Linked DNA regions of Saccharomyces cerevisiae S288C. Changing the gene in region 1 together with any one later gene gives a genetic interaction. Each region holds a gene or a part of one and is shown on either strand. Other genes may lie near its edges.

Region 1 (5,383 bases):
CTGGTAAATTTGGAGCGATACCGCAAATATACGCAACAAAGGCCCTCCAATTGGCACCAAATTTGTTTCCAAACATGTAAAAGGAACCCTTCTGTGCCAGGAATAAATGTGTTAATTTCACATATCCTCTTCTTACTACGAAATAATCCGCGCAAATGACACCAGCAATACTGGAAAGGAAAATTGCATAAGCACCCAAAGCGCTGGTGAACTTACTTGAACTGGCCATTAAGTTCCATGGACAGATACATAGAGCCATTGCCACACAGAATAAAGAACCTCTTCTAATATTAATATATCTTGGAAACAAAGCCGTCATATCAGCACCACATGCCAGAGAGTTGGCAGAAATGTTTGTACCCAGTTGAGCTAAGGCAAATACAAAAGAAATCAAGAACACACCAGCCCTAGTACCTCTGGTGTAAGTGGTCTCCAAAAATTGACCAAGTACATCCAGTGGTGACCAATAGTTAACCCCATATAAGTGATAACCGGCCGCAGTAACAATGATACCGATCAAACATGTTATGGCGAAGAACAATGGGATGGCAACCAATTGTGGCCACAAAGACGCTTGAGGATTTTTGGCAAATCTACCGAAGTCAGGGGCGTTGATAATCAAAGCGGCAAAGTTAGCAACACAGGCCATTAGGGATCTAACGAATATCCATGAAAATTCGGAACCATGAGGTGAATAATCATTCAGCGTCCCCAACTCAATTTTACCGTGCGATTTCTTCAAAGCCCAGATTAAAAATCCAAAGGCTGCGAAGGGGATCAAAGCTGCTTTTACTGTGAATAAATGCCTGATTTTATGAGGAGCCACTAGGACAAATGGTATACTGACCACCCAAAATATAAAGAAACACATGAATTCAAAAGTAGTGCTATTTGGAGAACCAAAATGGTTTGGGATTCTATCTTCCAGATTCTTGCCAAAAATAGATTTTAGCATCAGTGCCACGGGCGTTGCACCTAACCAGGCTTGCACGGCATACCATACTATAGCCATCACGACACGATTTATAATCGGCCACATAGAAAAGAATATACCAAATGAGGCCCTAACAGTAATAGGGAAAGATAAGTGATATGCGGAACCAAATCTCGAGTTCAATACTACGAAGATACCTGCAAAAGTGTAGCCGATCCAAACTGTAAGCCAACATTGCCACCAATTCAGACCTAGTTGTAGACCTGTACCAGCTATTTGCCATGTGTTAATATTGAAACAGTCTGCCAGCCAGAAATATAAGTAATTGAACCAGGACCAACACCTTCTTTCTTCTTCAACCGGTTTCAAGTCTCTGTTATACAAGAACGACTCTTTCAACGAAACATTCAAAGTTGTCTTGTCTAACACAATGAAATCGTAGTATATTTTACTCCAGATGGACTTTGTTTCGGGCAAGGGCACGACTTCGCTCTCCTCTATTGAGGAGTTGTCCACATACACATTAGTGTTGATATTCTTGTTCTTGTTGAACTTCCCATTTTCCACATCTATAATATCATCTTCATTGTTTGTATATGACACAATAGATGTGGAGGGTTGGACACCTTTCCTCGAAGGATTACTGAAAATAGCACTTAGAGCGTCGTTAGCCATTCTCGTCTTTGTTGATGTTTTATATCACAAGATGTAGATGAATATAAAAGGTCAAAAAGGGAAACTAAAGTAACATATATATTCAAACTACTCATCAAGCTAATTATTTATACTTTTTTTTTCTTCCCCATGTTTTCCTAGCCTTCTATGCTCAACACTAGCAGATCAAGTTTCTCGATTACAAACTTGTTTCTCTGATACTCTACCTCTCTATGCTAATCATTGGACACAATTTTTAAAGGAACCTTATCGACGTGACAGCAAAGCGGTCAATCCATCCTATTATTCCTTCTCATCTCCCTGAAAAGGAAAACATCCTGGATCTTCAATTACACATACACATTCCTTATCGCAACTAGATTAGAGGCGCTATTTTGTATGCGACAGCGAGTAAGGATGGCCGGAAAAAAAGCGGGCGCATTTTCCCTGGCAGAAATTTTTCATTGATAAGAAAGTAATACCGATAAGAGATACCCTCGAGCCACATTAGACCCGAGAATTGCAGGAAAGAAAGGAACTGCATGTTTCGATTCTATTGTCCCTTACTGCGGATCATCGAATAGGCGCAAATGTGTTGATGGTGGACTGATGGAACTTTATCAGGAGAAGTGGTTCAAAATTGCGGTGCTTAATTATCTATATAGAGGAGGCATATCTCATCGAAGGGGACAATGATGAGGTAACGCAAAAGTGATGAGTTTCTACTGGTATCTTGTAATTGAAGGTACCCCTTTTTCTTTTAGCTATCTTTAATTAGGTTAGAAAAGTGTATATTTCGCAAAAACGTATAGGCAAAAAAAAAGTGAAATACTGCGAAGAACAAAGATGCCTATCAATGCCATCACTTCCGACCATGTCATTATCAATGGTGCAAATAAACCTGCGACTATTGTGTATTCGACCGAATCAGGCACGATTCTGGATGTTTTAGAAGGCTCCGTGGTTATGGAGAAAACTGAGATAACCAAATATGAAATACATACGCTGGAGAACGTATCTCCATGTACAATTCTGCCTGGACTTGTGGACTCTCATGTTCACTTGAACGAGCCCGGTAGGACTAGCTGGGAAGGATTCGAAACTGGAACTCAAGCTGCTATTAGTGGCGGGGTCACAACGGTGGTTGATATGCCGCTAAATGCTATTCCTCCCACAACAAATGTGGAGAATTTCCGAATTAAATTGGAAGCTGCTGAGGGCCAAATGTGGTGCGATGTTGGGTTTTGGGGTGGACTGGTACCACACAACTTGCCAGACTTAATTCCGCTTGTCAAAGCTGGCGTTCGCGGGTTCAAAGGATTCTTGCTTGATTCTGGTGTGGAAGAATTCCCTCCAATTGGCAAAGAATATATAGAAGAAGCCTTGAAGGTCTTAGCCGAGGAGGATACCATGATGATGTTTCATGCTGAGTTGCCCAAGGCACATGAGGACCAACAGCAACCCGAGCAAAGCCATCGTGAATATTCTTCGTTTTTGTCCTCGAGGCCGGATTCTTTCGAAATAGACGCCATCAATTTGATTCTCGAATGCTTGAGAGCCAGAAATGGACCAGTTCCTCCTGTACATATAGTTCATCTGGCATCAATGAAAGCAATTCCCTTGATCAGAAAGGCACGTGCGTCAGGGCTACCAGTCACAACAGAGACTTGTTTCCACTATTTGTGTATTGCTGCAGAGCAGATCCCAGACGGAGCCACCTACTTTAAATGTTGTCCACCCATCCGCTCTGAGTCTAATCGCCAAGGCCTATGGGACGCTTTGCGTGAAGGTGTTATAGGCTCAGTAGTGAGCGACCATTCGCCATGCACCCCTGAGTTGAAGAACTTGCAAAAAGGTGACTTTTTCGATTCTTGGGGAGGAATCGCTTCCGTCGGACTAGGTTTGCCATTGATGTTTACCCAAGGCTGCTCTTTGGTCGATATCGTTACATGGTGCTGTAAAAATACATCCCATCAGGTAGGACTATCTCACCAAAAAGGCACTATAGCTCCCGGGTACGATGCTGATTTGGTGGTATTTGATACTGCAAGTAAACATAAAATAAGTAATTCAAGTGTCTACTTCAAAAACAAATTGACTGCCTACAACGGGATGACGGTCAAGGGCACAGTTTTGAAAACCATATTAAGAGGCCAGGTGGTATATACGAATGCCAACGGAGTCTCGAAAACACCATTGGGTCAAACTTTGCTTGATTCTAGACGTTAAACTAAAGTTGCAAATTTTTATTAAAGAAATTCTATAGAAATAAAAGAAACAAATTTATAAAAAGTTATTTACACACATACATATATTAACCACTCTTAGTTTGAGATGACACAACTTTTAATGATCTACAATATATCCATCTGGGTCTCCACGGCTGCAATTTTGAAATTTTCTTAGCGCTAAAAAAAAGAAATCTAACTGAAAAAAAAAATTATACCTCAGCTCATCGAATGCATCTAATACAGGTATAACGCAGAGAAAGCAGTAAAAGCAGCAAGAAATTACAGGGAAGATGGCTGGAAATGCAAACTCAGTAGACGAGGAAGTTACCAGGATATTAGGAGGCATATATCTTGGCGGAATCCGTCCAATTATTGACCACAGACCATTGGGTGCAGAATTTAACATTACTCATATTCTTTCTGTTATCAAATTCCAGGTCATTCCAGAGTATCTAATAAGGAAAGGTTACACGCTAAAAAACATACCCATCGATGATGATGATGTGACTGATGTGCTGCAATACTTCGATGAAACGAACCGATTCATTGATCAATGCTTGTTCCCCAATGAAGTTGAGTATTCGCCCAGATTAGTAGATTTCAAGAAGAAACCACAACGTGGTGCTGTTTTTGCTCATTGTCAAGCAGGACTCTCGAGATCTGTAACCTTCATAGTAGCCTACCTAATGTATCGTTATGGATTGTCACTATCAATGGCTATGCACGCTGTCAAGAGGAAGAAACCGAGTGTTGAGCCAAACGAGAATTTCATGGAACAATTACATCTCTTTGAGAAAATGGGTGGAGATTTTGTCGATTTCGACAACCCAGCCTATAAGCAGTGGAAGCTGAAGCAATCTATCAAGTTAGATCCATCGGGCAGCGAATTGGTCTCCAATTCTGGAATGTTTAAAGATTCGGAGTCGTCGCAAGACTTGGATAAATTAACTGAAGCTGAGAAGAGCAAGGTCACCGCAGTGAGATGTAAGAAGTGCAGAACCAAATTGGCGTTATCTACATCTTTCATCGCGCATGACCCACCAAGTAAGGAATCATCAGAGGGACACTTCATCAAGAGGGCCGCCAACTCCCATCGTATTATTGATATTCAAGAGTCACAAGCAAATTGCTCTCATTTTTTCATCGAACCTTTAAAATGGATGCAACCTGAACTACAAGGCAAGCAAGAGTTAGAAGGGAAGTTTTCATGTCCAGGCTGTTCAAGTAAAGTTGGCGGTTACAACTGGAAAGGATCTAGGTGCAGTTGTGGTAAGTGGGTCATCCCCGCTATCCACCTGCAAACTAGTAAAGTGGATCAATTTCCCTTACAATCCACTGCTTTGCCCAACATGGTTAATTTTGAATCCGAGAAAGTAAATAGATAACTTAGATATAATCAGCAAATATAACTACCACTAAGCACTTTTGGTGCACTTGTGTATGTATACATCTTAATAGATAGATGAATTTTGGTGCTGAGGAGAGCATTTTTCTAATCTTGACCTCGTTGCTGCCTGGCTCGTCTCTCCATTAATTCATCTAAACTAGTTATCCTCTCCCTAGT
Region 2 (3,522 bases), on another chromosome or scaffold:
CTGGAGAAGCATCTGCCAATAGCGGCAGATTTTCATCGTTGGCGTCATGTGGCTCCACAACATGGTGCTTATTGTTACTGTACAGCTTATCTTTTTGCAAAGAATAGATCAATTTTTTCAGCTGCGAATAGGCCAGATACTTGGTAGACCATTCTGGTACAGAATTGAATTGTAAGGAATGCGAGAACTTCATGTCAGTCTGCAAGTTACCGTGTCACCTTCACAGTTTTCTTTTTATTTGACTAAGTAAAAAAAGAAAAGAAGTTATTTTTACTAAGATTTTGAGCGGCATTTTTCCTAGTTACTTATCAATTTTCATACATGCAAGACATACTCAATTTTTTTTTTTTTTTTTCAGTTTTAAAATTAGTCCTGATCAAAAAGCCATCACGTGGATCCCCGAAAAAAAACGGATCCGGGTAACCAGAAGTATTTTTTTCAAGGGAATAAAAGTTACCCTACCAAAATAAAAAAATTCAAGTAGGGTAATAAAGTTCCACCCCCCATCAGGATTATCGTTCTCTGACATCACCCACTCTCTGCTCGCTCTCTGCTCGCTCTCTGCTTTCTTTCCCCACGCCGGAGTGATTAAGGCGGATAGGCCCACCTGAACACCTCGCTCAGAACATCAGCGAGAGTTCCAGCCCCTCTACCCCTTACCTCTCGCCGCCCCTCATTTCGGATCAAAAGCAAAAGAACAAAGGGCCTTCGCAGAAACGGAAGGTTTCGACCCCTCGGTGCCGTTTTAATTTCTTTTTCTGGCCAGTTAAGCTTTTTGACTTTCTCGAATCAGCCCAGTGCAAAACAGTACGCATACGAGCACACAAATGTATATATATGTGTATGTATATATGTATATAGGTATGTGTGTGTACATCCGAAGCGTAAACTAATGATCTGCAAGTTTCAGATTTTTTCTCGAAAAATATAACTAATAAACGTTCCATGTCGTCCACGGATATCAAGCCTTGTGCCGTGAACATCCCTGTTTCCGCTCACATCACCTTCCACTACAAGTCGATCGCGGACAGAAGCAGCAGCAGGAGCAGCAGCAGCAGCTCCTGCTCCTCTGCTACATCTAAAGCCTGCTCCCCCAGAGGCAGCTCCGTCGGCTTACCGCCTGCTTTATCAACTGACAATGAAATCGTCGAGACTGTACTTAATGTTTCCGCTCCCGTTGTAGCAGACCCTACGCGGCCCTCATTGTTCAAGAGTAACTACACCGCAGCCTCGTGCTTGACTTCTGACCCAACCTCGCCGTCACTACTGCCCTCTTCTAGGCGCAACTCTGTATTGCCGGCAAGCGACTTCCACCAATGCGCGCATCACAAAAACTTTCAAAGAAGGGCCAGTGAGCCACAACTGCCCTCCTTCGATAATCGCTCGTCGTCCGAGATGAAAAGGTCCGTCTCGTACGCCCAGCATAGCATGATGTTCCCCATCAGTGACCAACAGGAGCCGCAAACATCCGCGTCTCCTAACGACCACTCAGACCCGTCTTGTCCTTGCAACAGACATCACCACAGAAGAAACTCGGTCGCCGTCAAGTTTGACAAACCATTGTATGAGAGACTAGAGACGTAGTTATCCATTCGTCCATCCATCTGTCTATCGTCACACAGCATTTCCCATCCCTCCTCTATACATACATACATATACAGTTCTGCGTGGTCTACGCAGCCATGTATATATATATTTCCGTCGTTTTATATATTCATTACTAAAATCGACAATGCATTTTTTGCCGCTTTCCATTTCCTCTACTTTGCTCATCACTTCGCTCGAAGAAAAAATGAAAACCGTCTTGAAAAACTTTTGCTATTTCATCCATCCAAGCCACACCAAATAGCGCAGTCACACAGAGATCATGGTTACATATGCTGGAAAACTGGTTCTAGCTCCAATGGTAAGAGCCGGCGAACTGCCCACGAGACTGATGGCGCTGGCCCACGGTGCAGATCTCGTCTGGTCCCCAGAAATCATCGACAAAAAGCTAATTCAGTGCGTCAGGAAGGAAAACACTGCACTCCAAACTGTCGACTACGTCGTGCCGTCCAAGGTTCAAACGAGGCCGGAGACGCTCGTTTTCAGAACATATCCAAAACTAGAATCCTCTAAATTGATTTTCCAGATCGGGTCTGCATCCCCGGCTCTGGCCACCCAGGCTGCTTTGAAAGTGATCAACGACGTCAGCGGGATAGATATCAATGCAGGCTGCCCCAAACACTTCTCTATACACTCCGGCATGGGCTCTGCCCTCTTGCGCACCCCAGACACACTGTGTCTCATCTTGAAAGAACTGGTTAAGAACGTGGGTAACCCTCACAGCAAACCCATCAGTGTGAAAATAAGACTCTTGGACACCAAGCAAGACACTCTACAGCTCGTCAAACGTCTGTGTGCCACGGGCATCACAAATCTTACAGTTCACTGCAGGAAGACTGAAATGAGAAACAGAGAGCAGCCCATCACAGATTACATTGCGGAGATCTACGAGATATGCCAGGCAAATAACGTGTCGTTGATTGTGAACGGCGCTATCCGCGACCGCTCTCATTTTCATGATTTACAAGCGAATCATTGGAAAAACACTAACATTGGTGGTATGATTGCAGAGTGTGCTGAACGGGACCCTACAGTTTTTGATCACACTTCTAAGCCTTCAGAAGACGGTCCATCTTGGGTCGTTGCTTGTCGCGAGTTTATTCAGTGGGCAACGAAGTTTGACAACCACATCGGCAATACAAAATACATGTTAAGCAGAATTGTCCCCGGAAAATCAGTCTTTTTTCAGTACTTTGCCCGTTGCAAGAGCCCGGAAGAAGTTAGTTTCGTACTAAAGCAATTGAACGATGATGGAAGCGCTCAAACAGATCCTTCAGAGTACTTGGAAAACTGCAGAGCTCAAGAAAAAGCTTTGAAAAACGCCAACGCCATCGCCAAGCAAAAGAGGAAACAGACCGATCACATAGGCAGTGACACTAAAAAGCAAAAGGTTGTACCCCTTCCCACAGATATATAATATATTCTAAGTAAAAAGAACGGATTATGAAAGAAAACGCGCATAATATATATATGTATGTATTTTCTAATTTATATTAGCAACTAAATTAAATTACATCAATACTATTTTTTTTTTTTACTTTACAAGGTTTATTTCAAAGTCTTCAACAATTTTTCTTTATCATCGGTAGATAACATCTTGATAACTTCAGATAATCCATCAATAGCATTGTCATGGTCGCTTCTGATCTTTTTAGCTAAGTCTTGAGCGAATGACTCTAATTTCAAACCCTTTAGTTTATCGTCCAAAGTTTTGTAGTTTTCTTCAATCCATGTTGCGACTTGCCTATCATCTTCATGGTCCACTGAAGCAGGGTACCACGATCTAATTCTTGCGATCTTTTCTAATCTTGATGCTTCGCCTACCTGATGGCTCAACCTTTTAATCAAATATTCTTCGTTCAATCTTCTTCTCAATCTCCAGAAGAAGAAACGACGTGCCTCGGTCCATTCCAGTTC

The links. Genes that interact genetically often act in the same process or in processes that back each other up.
Region 2: mutations in DAL1 (region 1) and SMM1 together harm fitness more than expected from each alone (negative genetic interaction), as found in Saccharomyces cerevisiae (2 studies listed by BioGRID).

The regions. Positions count from the first base shown.
Region 1 is NC_001141.2:404,694-410,076, reverse strand, and holds DAL1 (allantoinase), read left to right. Parts: upstream 1-2,434; coding exon 2,435-3,817; downstream 3,818-5,383. Other genes in the region: DAL4 (allantoin permease), read right to left, coding at 1-1,609; tyrosine protein phosphatase YVH1, read left to right, coding at 4,110-5,204; MND2 (Mnd2p), read right to left, coding at 5,312-5,383. UniProt on the Saccharomyces cerevisiae protein: Catalyzes the conversion of allantoin (5-ureidohydantoin) to allantoic acid by hydrolytic cleavage of the five-member hydantoin ring. Involved in the utilization of purines as secondary nitrogen sources, when primary sources are limiting.
Region 2 is NC_001146.8:651,520-655,041, forward strand, and holds SMM1 (tRNA-dihydrouridine(20) synthase (NAD(+))), read left to right. Parts: upstream 1-1,867; coding exon 1,868-3,022; downstream 3,023-3,522. Other genes in the region: PHO91 (Pho91p), read right to left, coding at 1-193; YNR014W (uncharacterized protein), read left to right, coding at 946-1,584; acetyl-CoA carboxylase ACC1, read right to left, coding at 3,154-3,522. UniProt on the Saccharomyces cerevisiae protein: Catalyzes the NADPH-dependent synthesis of dihydrouridine, a modified base found in the D-loop of most tRNAs. Specifically modifies U20 in cytoplasmic tRNAs. Also able to mediate dihydrouridylation of some mRNAs, thereby affecting their translation.